Linked DNA regions of Alligator mississippiensis. The protein of the gene in region 1 purifies or fractionates together with the protein of each later gene. This does not show direct contact. Links are inferred from orthologs where the notes say so. Each region holds a gene or a part of one and is shown in the gene's direction. Other genes may lie near its edges.

The links.
Region 2: the proteins of EIF3L (region 1) and EIF3B purify together in Homo sapiens (affinity purification with mass spectrometry; 8 studies listed by BioGRID and IntAct, counting the BioPlex papers as one, with this or other methods). This does not show direct contact. The link is inferred for Alligator mississippiensis from reciprocal best matches to the Homo sapiens genes EIF3L and EIF3B.

The regions. Positions count from the first base shown.
Region 1 is NC_081827.1:99,958,563-99,966,560, reverse strand, and holds the start of EIF3L (eukaryotic translation initiation factor 3 subunit L), read left to right. Parts: upstream 1-4,983; 5' UTR 4,984-5,153; coding exon 5,154-5,186; intron 5,187-5,271; coding exon 5,272-5,320; intron 5,321-5,417; coding exon 5,418-5,628; intron 5,629-6,949; coding exon 6,950-7,029; intron 7,030-7,998. Other genes in the region: ANKRD54 (ankyrin repeat domain-containing protein 54), read right to left, coding at 1,029-1,153, 1,270-1,317, 1,721-1,792, 1,984-2,082, 2,512-2,559, 4,317-4,539. UniProt on the Homo sapiens protein: Component of the eukaryotic translation initiation factor 3 (eIF-3) complex, which is required for several steps in the initiation of protein synthesis.
Region 2 is NC_081836.1:51,167,537-51,174,509, forward strand, and holds the start of EIF3B (eukaryotic translation initiation factor 3 subunit B), read left to right. Parts: upstream 1-3,970; 5' UTR 3,971-3,998; coding exon 3,999-4,425; intron 4,426-6,973.

The DNA.
Region 1 (7,998 bases):
AGACAGGGCTATTTGTAGCAGCACAGGCTAATGTGCTGTCAGAAGTTAGACCACTAGTTGATCACACATACATCATACTCAGATTAGAATTCATTGATCTACTAGCCCACATATAGCTGTTAGAATGAAGCAGCCATACAGGGTCACCTTGGGAAGCAGTCAATATGGCAGTGCTGTGGCCAATGCAGAGCAATTCTTAACTGTGCACTAGTCCTTCACTGACTGATTGTGTTGGAAACATCCAAGGACAGTTCTACAGAGTCTTCTCTCCTGTCTGTCAGCCAGACAGTGTGAGCACTGAGACCTGGAACAGTTTTGTGTTCAGTGCAGTTGGGCCTACACCACTGGAGAGACCCTGCAAAAACTCAGTGGAAGCATTTAAGAAAAGATTCTCCAAACACAGGGCGCAGAGGAGCTGTCAAAGTGAGGAAGGAGGAAGGTCAGGGACCACATCAGAGTAGAGATCCTAAGGCAGGAATGAGCAGCTCAGACTTCACTGAGGGCCACTTGCTGGGTACACATTCCAGTAGAGAGCTGTCACAGTGGAATCTACTCTGCCCACACAGGAGCCCTTATCTTTACAAGCACAAAACTGAACTATACATGCATATGCATGAACAGATTAGCAAATGGCTGCATAGCATGGATGCAGGACTCATTTGCTTTCCACATCCTAATAAAAATTTTTGAGGGGGCAGCCTGTGGGCTATATGGTGTGCACCCTAACAGACTATTAAACCTGTTACTAAACATTACCCCTATTACAGGGATGCAGTGGCAGCCTGGCTAAGGCACCTTGCTACAGTTCTAGAGTTGTGTTCAACTATTGTGCTGGATGTGATGCTAGCCACTTCACTCCCTCATGTGCCATTGCCTAGAGAAACTGGTATGCCTTAGCCATAGTAGCCTGATATGCTGCAAGGCTCAGGGTGGACCTTTGAGATCTTTTCCCTAGGGGGTGTAGGACAGAATGTCAATGCTTGAGACACAGATTCCCTGGAGGAGCAGACAGCAGGAATGGTTCTTACTTGTTTCACTTCAAGGCGCACAGCCTCCAGGCTCTGAGACAGCCCTTCCTGCAGGATGTTCAGCTTGGATTTGGCCAGGTGCAGAGGTGTCCTCCCAGCTCGGTCTAGGGCATCTACTCTGGCCCCTGAAAGATGCAAAGAGCAAGAGAGAGGGGGAGGTTGGTTTTAAAGAGGCAGCATCCTCAGGGAACATCATGGAGAAGGTGGTAACTTTTTATAATTTGCAAAGAGGAAGTGTTACCTCCGCGGAGCAGCGTGGTGATGACAGGAACGTGATTTGTGCAGGCAGCTGGGGAGGAAAAACAAGACACACAACTCAGTGAAAGGGATTCTGCTCTAGTCCAGAGCCTGCTGGGCACAAACACTCAACATCTGACAGGGCTCTTTGTAGTTGCACACAGGAGCACTTCCATTTGAAGTCAGCCCAGAAATTTACTTCCATCTGGATAGTTTCTTCTTCATCAGAGCCAGCAGGAAGAACGTGATACACTTCCCTCTGGGAAGCCTGGGACCCTGAAGGCTTCAGTTAAAAACAACAGAGCAAATAGGATCTAAAGAGCATCCCTCCCAAGTCTTCAAAAATAGGCACTGGTTGCCAGGATGCACAGGTGTAAAAAGGGAAATGGGTGGGATTTCTTTACCTTTGTTTACAAAGGTTACAGAAGATACCATTTCAGGTTCCAGACACTTACCCAAGTGTAATGGAGTGTTCCCCAACCCATCTCTCTGATTTGGGTCTGCGCCATGGTCCAGAAGCAACTGCACTAGAAACAATGAAACAGACCAATTTCAGTCTCTTCCCTTTGCCTCTCAAGTCTGCGATGATCTTAAGTAGTATGTATCGCGCCATGGATTGCAACAGAAATCCTGATTCTACACAGATGCAGAATTGAATTGGATTCCTCTGCTGTCCCTCCCTGAGGACGCTGGATCATGAACACCTCCTCCTACTCACCAATGCGGTCATTGCCATTGCAGGAGGCAAAGTGCAGGGCTGTACGGCCTTTGTCATCCGCAGCGCAGGGGTCAACCCCATCCTCCAAGAGTTGCTGCACTGACATCACCGAGAGACAGAGATGAGAAGAGAGTGTGAACAGAGTGAGGACCCTGACTGGTGCAGCAGCTATGACATGTTTGGACAGAGATGGGAATGAGGGAAAGAGATGAGGAAAGGGGTTCCCCTTGTTCCTCTCTACAACCAGCTGTCTCATACATGCTAATGGTAGAACCTCAAGGGGTAATCAAGTTGTTATCAATCATTTCACTGGTGTGAGGAGGCACAGAACACTGCAAGATTCAACACACAGGGATATCAGTATGGAACACTGGTTTTACAGCTGTGACATAGCAAAGGCAGACATCGCTCCAGACCAGTCCCGCTATGTCCAAACCCTATTTCCTACTCCTTTTCCTGAAGATGCCCAATCCAAACCTGCCCTTCCAGAGCAAAGTTTGGAAATAAGCCCACCTGGTGAAGTCTCACCTGTGTCTAGGTCATTAGCATTGGCGGATTCTCTCAGCCTTTTCAGAGCTGTGAAAATGAGAAAGAGGTTAATGGAAACTGAACAGGGATGGTTTCCTTGTCAGATGCTTCTACTTAGCTCAAGAATAAGTTAAGGGACTCAATCAAACACGGGCTTGACTCCTCCAGGAGAAAGGGATAGGTGAACAAGCTACTGAAAAAAAAGATTTAATGCTTTTCTTTTAGAGCTGCTCATAAACCTTTCCTTTGGGAGAGCACTCCCAGAAGAAGTTCCCTTCAGGATCAACTTTAAAGGCAAAATTAACTCAAATGAATGCCTTTTCCTAACTCCCCTGCACAGCTAATCTTAGACACCACTATTTCCTCCCTGCTCCACCCCTGGAAGGCAGAGGTAGTCTGACAAAAATATTTTTGTTGGCATGCAAGGCTACAGAAAGACCTTCCACCCAGACTCTGAGACGGTGCTGAAACATCTGACCTTGGCTGTGTTTTTTCTTCCATGACCCTTTGCCTGCATTGTCTCAGTGACACATTTTCCTATCCCCCTTTTTCCTTTCCTAAGCACCTGACAGATTATTTCCTTACTTGTTAGTTGAATCTTTTACATTCTTTTCAATTCTTGGCACAAGTGTCAGAAAGGGATTGGAAGGGATTGCACTGGTCTGGCTGACAGCACCTGAGGGGTTACGGTTTTCCTTGGGGGATGCCATCTTCTGCACTTGGAATCTACCTCTTGGTCTCTTAAAAATGTGCCTCTCACCTTTAACCGTTGCACAGGGATGGGTCAGATTGGAGGTGGGGGGAATGCTGTACTCATACCCCGCTTTGATGCCTGCTCCACCTGAAGTTAAAAACCAATTGCCTGGCAGTGGCAGCAGCATTTGTAGTCAGGCAGTGCTGAGGAAGCCACTTGACTTTGTGGATGCTTATCTACATCATCCCTTCTAAACTGTCCATTCCACAGGCCTTAATGACCCTGTTCTTTTTAATGGTCTGGATGCCTATGGACAACTGCATGAGCCAGCATGATTAATTGCGCCATTCACGCTGGAACCTACTGACAAGTCCACCCACCCAGCGAGCCTTTGTTCTGTAATTCTGCTGCTTGTCTGCTGCTCTGGGTCACCAAGCTTCAATTTCACAGCCCGGCAGACTGTTTTTGCTTTAATCTAACATCACTGGAATGAGTTTAAAACAATCTCAAACTGAGCAAGGCAGCCCTCAGCCCTGGCAGATTAGTAAAGCTTCTAGTGTCTTTGTAACTGGAGAAAAACCAGTGTTGTGTTGCACGTGATGGCACCTCGCCCTCCGTACCCCACTTTTCAAAACCTGAGTCCAGCCCATGGGCACAGGGACCCGCAGCCTGGTGCACTCCTCTGTCAAGTGGAGTTATGAGCGGGCCCACCACTGGCGTGACTAGCACGGCCTTCACTCTGGAGCCCACTGACAACCACAGGAGCCGGCACAACTCACACGGCGTTCACTCTGGAACCTACCAACAACTAGGCAGGTGGGCACAACGAGTGGCAACGCTCACTCTGGAACCTAGAGACAACCACACGGGCCGGCACGACTGGTGCAGCGTTCACACTGGAACCTGCTGACAACTGCATGAGCTCGTGCAAGCAGCATGGCATACGCTCAAACCTACTAGCAACCGCACAAGCTAGCGGGGCTGGCATAGTTCACTCTGGAGCCTACTGACCATCGCCCCGTTCCCCCAGGCAGCTGCACGGCTGGCATGGCGCTCACTCTGGAGCCTACCGGCAACGCAGCCGCAGCGCCCCCGCCCGGCCGGCCCTCACCGTGGATCTCCTTGCCCGTGGGCCCCAGCTTGCAGTGCAGGCGCGCGGTGCGGCGCAGGCGGCGCGCGGGGATCTTGCCGGCCGGCGAGTCCCGCTGCCACAGCACGTGCAGGCAGCCGAGCCCCGCCGCGCCGCCCTCCGGCCCCAGCCCCAGCGCCCCGCGCGGCGCCTCCTCGCTGCCCCCGGCCCCGGCCCCGGCCCCGGCGGCGCCGCCATCCTCCATCGTTGCCGCCGCCGGGCCCAGGCCGCGCGGACATAGGGGGCGGGGACTAGCCCGTCACTCCGGCAACGAGGGTGGGGCGAGCTACTCAGACCCAGTTTAGCCAATGAGCGGCCCGGCCGGCGATGACGCGAAGCCAATCAGCCAAACCTGGAGGTGGAGGCGGGGGGATGGGGAAGGAAGAGGCAACGAGAAGTGGGTGACGTAGCCAGCGCTTCGCCCAATGGCAGAGCCGAGCCAATCGCAGAGAGGATGGGGCGGGGCGGGGCGGGGCAGACGACGGGAACTGCGTCACCCACCGGAAAGCCTCGACGCGCCGCTTCCTTCAGCCAATCGGGGGGCGGGGCCGCACGAGGGAATGGAAGAGGGAAGCTCTCTAAGAAGGGAGGAGGGCTCAGGCGGGAGGGGCGGGGCGAGGAGGTGGTGAAGTCCCGCCCCTCCCGGCTGAGCCTGCTGTCCTTCCACTCTCCGTCAATCGCCGCGCGCGATAGTGCTGCGTCCGCCCCCTGCCTTCAACCGCCGCGCCCCGCACTTCCCTTCTGCGTCGCGGCCCTTTTGGTCCCGGCCGCGTTCCCATCCGGGCCCCTTTCCTCGACGCACCCGCCCGCGCGCTTGCCATGGCCTACCCCGGCGAGGACTACGACAACGAGGTGCCGGGGGGCGGGGAGGGCCCAGGGGGCTGGGGCTGGGGCTCGGGACCTCGTGGTGACCCTCCTTCTCCGCCCCCCTCCACAGGCCTCCTACGACCCCTACACCTACCCCGGCGACTATGACATGCACACGGGTGAGTCCACGCGCGAGGCCGGGCCGGGCCGGGCCGGGGGGAGCTGAGGCGGGCAGGGCTGATGTGGCGCGGCCCCCGCCCCCTTGTCTGTCCGCAGGAGACCCGAAGCAGGACCTGGCATACGAGCGGCAGTACGAGCAGCAGACCTACCAGGTGATCCCCGAGGTGATCAAGAACTTCATCCAGTACTTCCACAAGACTGTCTCGGACCTCATCGACCAGAAGGTGTACGAGCTGCAGGCCAGCCGTGTCTCCAGCGACCTCATCGACCAGAAGGTCTACGAGATCCAGGACATCTATGAGAACAGGTGCCCCGGGCTGGGCTGGGCTGTGCTGCTTGGGAACGCTCCTCCGTCCCACCCCCACACGCAGGGCCCCCCTGTGCTGCTTCAGGCAGTGCTGAGGAGCAGCCCTGACCCAAATCAGGGGTTGGTCTCAAACAGCGGCTCCCAGCCAGGCCGCCACAGCCTCCTGGGACACTGAGATTGTTGAGTGGAGCCACAGGCCCTGTGCCATGTTAGTGCCGTTCAGTGCATGCACGTGATTCACAAAATGAATCCGGTAATTTTGGAGAAAAGTCCATAGTGTTACAACCCTTCTGCCCCATTACAGCTTTGAGTTCTGCAGCAGAAAAATGGCTCTGTTTTTTTGCCATGGTCAAGCAAGTGGAAGCTTAAGAGCTGGCATTTCTGGAGGGGTGCCATGAGTGAGCCCCAAGGAGGGGGATGTTATGAGTCTAAAAAGGTTGAGGGATGCTGTTTAAAATCCAGGGTTGTGGCTAGATTTAAGTAGCTGACGAGGATAAGATCTTATCGTTCCAAGTCATTGGTTCCCAAACTTTGACAGATGGTGCACCCCCAATTTAGAACAATGCAACCATCAGTACCACCAGCAAATCTTTGTCACGTAAAGTAATTATAATAAATCTGTTAACACGTACCACTGACAGGTTGTCTGCGTACCACTGGTGGTACCCATACCACAGATTGGGAACAGCTGTTCTAAGTCATTTGTTTCCCTCAAGCCAGACAGGTAGAGATTATAGGAAAGTGGCACCAGTTAGCCCACTTGATCAGGTCAGCAGAAATGCCGAGAGTTGAAGAAACCTATGCAGCACTTGCTATCGTTATCCTTTCCAAAAGTGGCTTCTGTAGCTTGTGGCTGAAGTATGCAGGCAAGCAGCGCATGGTATATGTGAGCAACTTACAATTCTTTTCTGGACTCTGAGGATAAAGCTTGCCCAAATTTATTTATGAATCCAAAACAGAAAGGGCTTTAACAAGGCATGTTGTCTAAATTGGAAATGTCTTTTAATTCCCTCCCTCTCTCACTGAGAAATTAATGATACCAGGAGTATAAAAGATACAGCCCATATAGTCCTGTTACACAGCCTGCAATGTTGCCCGTGGATTTCAAATTGCTGACATGCGGCGTTCACGGGACCATACCTTTTGGGGCTGCATACGGTACACGTAGCATCCTGGATACAGTGCATGGGGCCAGTCTGTGGGCCTGATCTAGCTTGCAGATTGGATCCAAGCCACTCATCTGGCCCACAGGGCCTGATGAGTCTGACACCTCCAAATGTATACAGTCTCTAAATTTAACTACGTGTGATTTATCTTGCAGCTGGACCAAGCTAACAGAAAGGTTTTTTAAAAACAGTCCTTGGCCAGAGGCAGAGGCCATTGCACCACAAGTTGGCAATGGTAGGTATTTTGTTCCTTTTTGTTTTGGTCATTTGGGAAAGAAACAAAGCAACTTCTTCAGGAAGAGGCCTAGTTGAAATTTCTGACCCACTCCATAAGGCCCTAACTTTGACCTGTTTATTGGGGGGGCCAAAAGTTTGAAGACTAGTACTGTACTTGTATATCCTTCCAAAATCATCTCTGTGGCCATATGATGAAAAATTGGAGGAGAGGGATGTAATCTGACACTTCTGGATCGGCAGGCTACTGTTCCAAGAGTTTTGTAGAGGAGATAAGTTGTTCTTGCTCTTGGCTTGCTCAACTTCTTCCTTTCTGTCTTTTTTTTTTTTTTTACATAGAGAAAGTAGAGACTTGCAGTCTCCTTTATTTTGACATCCCCCACATGCTAAACTGGTAGACAGTGACCTTAGTATTTCCTCATACCATATTTTTCCACAGATGTTGTTTATACTGGTGTTATTATTTTTTCTCTCCTCATGTCTCCATTCTTCCTTATTTTCAAATTCATTCTCTCCCTACCTGTATAAACTCAATGCTGTACTGCTCAGGGTGAGGGCTGTCTGTAGCTAGAGAGATGTTCTTGTAGTCAGAGCACATGCACAGAGCTGCTGCTTTCTCACCCTTTGCTTACTGCTGATGCTGTGGCCATCTCTTCAAGTTGCCTGGCAGGAGATTGGACTTGAAAGTAGAGGTGCACTGATACATCAGTCCGATATTGGATTGGCACCGATTATAACGAAAATGATCTGTCGGAAATTGGCCGTAAGTGGCTGATAATTGGGCTGATTAAATGCTCTTACATGTGTGCAGCTGCAGTGCAGCACGTAAGCAGTGAAGACAGTGGCAGTGTGGAGAGCTGCCAGCTGGTAAGTCTGCTGTGGTAGAAGGGGAGGGGGAGGAAGGGATGTTGGGGGGGAGGACAGATCAAGGCCCCTGCGGTGAGGGAGGGAATGAAGCAGGGGTGGGGCA
Region 2 (6,973 bases), on another chromosome or scaffold:
AGGAACATTTATACCAGAAAGGGAAAAAAAAAGAGAGAAATTGAAAGTAAGAATAGCTATTATAAATGAAAAGATCTCCAAGAACAAACTATAGAGGCAAAGAGAAGAAAGCAGAGTCATGTATTTATGGTAACTTGAGTGGTTATTGAAGGAGCACGGGTCAGTCTGAAAGGAGCAAAACTTTGTTCCAGGTACTTTCAGTTAGCTTATTGCTGCAAACTAGAAAATCAAAGTCTTGTTAATCAAACCTACCATAATGATTTAGCTGGAAGATACTGAAGTATCTGATCTCCCACTTCAGAGAAAAAAGTTAACCTTTCTCTAAGAACTTACATGTAAACATGCAACTGCAAGTAAATAAGCAGTTAATTGGATTTGAATGGAGTTAGGGTGACATCTTGTGACTAATTTACAAAATTACAAAGCTGGATTTTCCTTGCTTTATTCTTCCGATTTCTTCCCCCAAAGGATTATCCACATACAGAAGTGATTGCAAAATAAGATAGGGTCTGACATCAGCATTAACTCTTTGTATGGGTTTTCTTAATCTGCAGAATACCTTTTTACTATGTGGCTAACTCCATTTCCAAAGTGGACCAAAAACCAACTGCTAGAGTAAAAAAGGGGTGGCCAACATCCAACACGCGTACAACATGTGGCACAGGCAGCCTCTGTGTAGCACACAGCTGATTAGGGAAGGGACAGGCAGCACAGCAGCAGATAGAGTTGGGAACAGAAAACAGAGCAACAGATCAGGCTGGGGGAGGAGTAATCAGAGTGGCACTTGAGGAGGGCACAGGGCTAATTTGTGATATGCCCGCCAAAAAGGTTGGCCTCCACTGATGTAGAACATGAGAATCCTCATGGGGAGTGACTGCAGAATGACTATTCCGAGCCATTTCTCTGTGTAGACAAGTCCATTGCAGAATCAAAATAGTATCCACAACCAAGTCAAAGACTTTTTTCACATCCTGCTTTACATTTGTTATTTTGCACATCAGCCAGCATCTTGCCAGGTCTTGGACAACTTCCTGCACAGGCCATCTCTGGTCCACATCAGACTCCAGCTTCCAATCTTCAAAAGCTCTAAGAAGGGTGGAACTTCTGTAAGACTAATTAGGAGAAGTATAGCAAGTCATTGGAATGAAGCAATGTGACAATACCGACCCAGAGCATTCAGGTAGAAGAGGCCTATAGTCATCCCTGTGGCACCATTTATAAAGCAGCCTGTGGGCCATTCCATGTGGCTGCTGCCCAGTCTATCCTCCCTGCTTTGATCCCAAGTGTGTCACCCTGCTAAAGCAGTATGAGTCAGCTGCCAACCCAGATGTCGCCAATCACTTGATCGAATCATTGGAAGCAGCTCACCGAGCTTGATAGGAGGAAATGACTGAGAAGCTGGACTTCACCCATTCCATCTGGAAGTGTTGGAGTCTACTTTGTCATTTTGGAGTGGCTCATCAGCCATCAACACCAGGTCACCCTCTCATGGCACCTAACCAAGTAGCCAGCCACCTACTTCATGTAGCAAGAGCGCCGCTGGAAAAAGGAGTGAAAAGCTGCCTCCAAAAGCAATGAAGAACTTTTCACCAGATGCCGCAGACCAGAACCCCTCCAGAACCCTTCACAGTTCTTGAATTGAGTGAAGTTTTGGACAGCATCAAGTCTGGCACTACCCCAGGCTGTGACAGTTCCTTGTCCCAGATGTTACAGTCTGCCATCTGGCTCCAATCTGCCATGCTGTCAGTGGGCCTTGCTGAATAGGTTGCAGACTGGGCAAGGTCTGTGTGCAGCCAACCTCCACCACTGGGGTCTTCACAACAATCCAGACTATAACTGTGGCACAACACATGCCGTGTTGCATATTGTTGATGATTGCCCACTAAGTTCAGTGGTGGACTACAGGAACTGCACACAGCCACCGAGGATGCTATCGTGTGGCTTGGCAATTATACACATGTGGACTGACCTTGCATATGGCACACAGTGTCACTACAGGACCTTTTAAAATGTTTATTTTTTTCTTTTGGCCTCAGACCTGTAGTGGCACTAAGCAGGTGAGGGACCCACAAGTTCTAGGAAAGTCACTTATTTGTCACCTCAGTAGCCAACATGGAAAATAAATGGACACCCTCACTATAGAAATCACAGTGATGTTAAAATGATATGCAAGGCTTAAAGAGTTTTGAGAACATATTGCTCTTGCTTTCCTGTTCTTTTATGACTGTGGCAGAATCCTTTCACCGTTTCTCCTAAATACTCATATCACCAGTCAGCCTCCCTTGGCAGTGACGTGGAAAGATGGACAATTTCTGACAGAGAGGGAAATGCTATTGTCAAATCACAAACTGGCGGAGGGTCAGTGTAGCTGCACTTTTACTCTTTTTTGAATGTGACCACCCATCAAGTGGATGACATCCCTCTAAATCCTAAATAGTTTTGAGGGAGTTGGTATCTCTCACTGCACCAGTTAGAGGGTCAGCAGATATCTCAGCTACTGATGCACTGCTGAGCTACAGGCAAAGAAGTGCTGGATCCCATTTCCATTGCTTCTGAAGTGCCTCTCTGTGCCCTTGGAGGTGTTGGTTGTAGTCATGTTGGTCTAAGGACGTAGGCAGACAAGCTTGTTTGGGTAAATGTGATATCTTTAATTAGACCAACATGGCAGGGAGTAGTACCTTGTAGCGCAGCTAGCCTCGCACTTTTACTCCTAATGGGAAGATCTTGGCTACACACCAACTTTATGGAAATGGGAGGCTCTTCCCTAGCTTGCTCCTGCCGCCATACGGCTGAGGGCAAGCGAAACTTGAAGGCCTCCAAACCCCAAGCCTCCAGGATTGGGCCTGCATGTACGATACCTGCATCTGAAGCCCATTTGGAATCAATTTGGCTGACTTGACTTGGGACACAAAAAAAAGACCTTAAAAAAAGTTGGAAAAATTCTTCTTTGCAAGCTTTTGAGTGAAAACACCCTTCTTTTTTTCACCTGAAGATGGGCGTTTGTCTTCAAAAGCTTGCAAAGAAGAGTTTTTCCAACTATTGAGTTGGTCTAATAAAAGACATCAGATTTACCCAAAGAACCGTGCATGTCTCTGTGCCCTTTGCGCTAGGGGCTGGGCCCCATGTGGGTGCAGAGCTACGAAAGCCCTTTAGGGTCTGGCTAGATTAGAGCTGCTGTCCTATGAATTATCTGAAGCCCTTCCAGATGGGGCTGGATCACTGGCCCCTGGACACAAACAGCCCAGCACGTCCCTACTGCTGAGCACTTCAGGCTTGTGCTTTGCCTCTAGTGTCATGGCCACCTGGAGGGGAGGCAGCCCCTTTCCGACCACGAGACTGCAGGCTAGGCTGATGTGGCGGACCCTACCACCTTCGAATTGTCCTTGTGCACCCCCCCTTTGATGAAGGTGGTAGCGCCCACACACTCAATCCCACCACCCCTCGCCTTTGGACGAACCCATCGCACAGAATTGGTGGGACATCAATCCGTGTCCTAAACTCTGTACAGCCGCCTTCACGCCACCACTGGCATTTAAATAGACGGAGGGACCCAACCTTCCCTTTGGATCTACGCAGGGGGGAAATGCGCAGGTACCACCAACCCCCCCTTTCCACTCAAAGATGGTTCAGTCGGACCCCACCTTAGGCGGGTGAAGGGAAGAGGCCGCCATGCTGGAATGAACCAAGATGTCGAATGAAATAGGGGTGGGGAGGACACACCCCTGCAGGGCAGGAATAAAAGCTGCTACGGAAGGGAAGAGAAAAAGGAGAATGGAGGTGTAACTAGAGATCAAGTATTACCTTCCACGTGCATAGGAGGCGGTGTGTTGAGATTCGAGTGAATCAAAATAAAAAAACCCCTAACAATCCGCTTTCCCCTCCCGCGGGAGTTGGTGCGTGCCGCGTCGCGGTGGCCGCCGGGAGTCGCGCACATGGCCCGTGCGCAGCGCTGCCCCTCCCCCTTTCTTTCCGCAGCGCGGCCCAGCAGCGACCCGTCCATGCAGGAGGCCGAGGAGAGCCCGGCGCCCGCCGAGGAGCCCGAGCAGCCGGGCGCGCCGCTCCCGCTGGAGCAGCAGCAGGAGGAGGAGGAGGAGGTCGAGGCTGAGGCTGAGGCGCCGCCCGGGTCCCCGGAGCACCCGCCCGCCGCCGATGGGCTGCCCGGCCGCCTCAGCCCTGAGGAGGAGGAGGAGGAACAGCCGCCCGCGCCCGCCGAGGAGAAGACCGCAGCCGAGGAAACGCCCAAGGTAGAATCCGAGGAGGAGGCCGAGGCGGAGGAGCCGGAGCCCAGCACTGAGGCCGAGGCCGAGCCGTCCCCGGAGCAGCAGGAGGAGAAGAAGGAGCAGGAGGAGGAGGAGGAAGAAGAGGAGGAGGATGACATCTCCTTCAGCGACCCCGAGGACTTCGTGGACGACATCAGCGAGGAAGGTGGGTGGCCTTTTAATGCCTACCCCCCACTCAGCTTTCCGGGGGGGGGTATCTTTGCAGAGTGACGTGTGCCACGCGTCGGAAGAAGGGCTGCGGTCGTGACACGACGGGTGTCCGATGCAGCGTGGGTCGGTGGGTGATACGAAGGCTGCCACCTCTTACCCTAGGGGTGCGCGACTCGACGTGCCTGGGCTAGAGGGGATGTTGGCCACAGCTAGGAGGGACGAACGCTAGGTTATTCCTGGGGATTTCAAAGCGCCGTGCCGTGTGCGGCGTGCCGAATTTTTTGCCGTGGTTTTGAGAGGAGGAAGGGGTGAGAGAGCGCTGGGGTACCCGTGTACCCCAGGGGTGCGCGTACCACAGGCTGAGAAACTATCCCCTTAGGAGATCGACGATGGGGCCTGTGTTCAAACAAACGTTCGGTGTTGAATTGGATTTATGCAGCGGGCCGGTGGGGTTTTGAAATGTGATAGTGACTGCGTTTGCCTTCCTGACGTGAAGTCCGTCATGTCCCGCCATCGTGTGATGAAACCTCCTGGAATAGGGTCAGAGTTGCCAACTCGCTCCAGCCTGGGCTGGTCCTGTCCGTGCTCTGCACGGGTCTCTCTAAACGTATCTCGGGAGTAAGATACCAGAGGTAAGTATCTGCCGCTAAATGCGTCTTGGAAGTAAGAAAGGAGAGGTAAGTATCTCCCCGTTCTCCGCTCCAGGACAGTGGCGGGGAGGGTTTGATCGCGTCCTCTGCCGGCCCCGTGGTTCACTGGAGTTAGAAACGGTTCTAACCCAGGGACCGTGTAAGGCACGTCGGGCAAACGTCAGTGACGCTTGTTCGGAGCTTGCTGCGTCGTTGTTGGCAATCCCTCGATTTGGGACGTTGTCCAGCTCCTCGGTGAGCCTTCAGGTGACTTGAGGGTGCGGGTTGGTCTAAGGACACAAGCAGACAAGGTTCTTTGTGTCAGTCTGATTTTCTTTTATTTAGACCAACTCAAGTAGTTGGGAAAATTCTTCTTTGCAAGCTTTTGGGGATAAATACCCTTCTGAAGGCTGAGGATGTCTGGAGTTGGTGTGGATGGAAGAGCACAGGTGACCTAAGACCTTGGAGTTATAAAGCACTGTGAGAAATGGTGAGGCTGGGAAGGGTCCAGGCGTTGTCGAGAAGATCTGCCCAAAGCTCACCTCTTAAGGAAATATCAGAGACTCCTCTGTTTAGTACTGGCGGTTCCACATCAAGGTTATGTAGAGAATGGCTGTGCGTATCTATCCCCCCCCATGCGTAGTTGAGAGGAGTACAGCTTCTGGGGGGTGTTCCCCTCTCCCTACGAGTTGAATACTTCTCTCTTTTTTTTTTTTCTCTTCTTTTTCATAGAGGGGTCTTGATGACCCAGGTGAGACTGCACAGAGACATGGATTCTGTAAGCAGCTGTGCACTGAACCAGTATTTACTGTTCTGACACTGGTGTTGCTATCTTTGTGTAAACTTATGCATTGGTTAAAACAGCTTTGTGCAACTGAACAGAACCATTGTGCAAAACTGCTTGGAGAGTATGTGGTTAGAAGCTTTTTATTTAATTAGGAGTTTGGGAGAGACCTATTTTGTCTGTATGCTGAGTTTGGGTTTTTGATAAATTTTTAACCTCTATTCCAGACCCGGACAGGTTTGTCTTTTCCTGCATCATTGTCAGTGGTTATACTTGGCCATCTGCTTCTTGAAAACTACTTTCCTTTGAAAGGAAAGTAGTTCCTCCCAACTTCCCAACTCAATCGTAGTTGAGTTGACTCTTTTTGAAGGAGAAATTGAGTGATATTTCCATCCCAATTCACTGAATTAAGGCTAATACCATATTTGTGATGAATCATGGTTGTTTCAACATCTTCAGTGCCTGTTCCTATATTATGTGAAAATGATTTGAGGATCACTCCACTTCGTTTCATTGCTCTTTTACTGCTGATTGTGACCCGAGTCATCAGTGAATTCCTCTTACTTGGCCTTCATCCAGCAAGAAGTGGGATTAAGTAGACCGGATCATCTGCTGTGTCAAGTTCAGGTTGGGAAAGAGGGTGGTCACAGTGAACCAGTTAGACCCAAGGAAACCTGTTGTTGATGGTCCCCAATGGAGTATTCACTAGGTGAGGCTAGCTGGACCACAGCATCTTGGACCACACCCCTCCCTCTTGTTTCTGGAGGGTGGTATAGGAACTGGTTACACCAGCTTATTTTTTGTGTACTTGCTTTTTTAGGATTGTACGGGATGTAAAACCTCTTAATTCAGTCCTGATTGACAGAGCAGGCAGATATAGATAGCAGACCTACAGAAAGCCTATCAACATAATGAATTACTTAGTTTTTCCAGGTATCTGGGAAACTTTTTCTGGGAACTTTAGTTTTGAAAAGGGTTAGGAGAAATAAATGACTTCACAGGAGGAAATTGTTCCACCTGACTCTAAACTGACTTGCATCTCTTCTTTGGTATCTTACCTTCTTGTTCCACTTTTGGAAATGCTTCCATTTTGCTCTTAATTTTTTCTGTAGAAAAATATGAACTCTTTG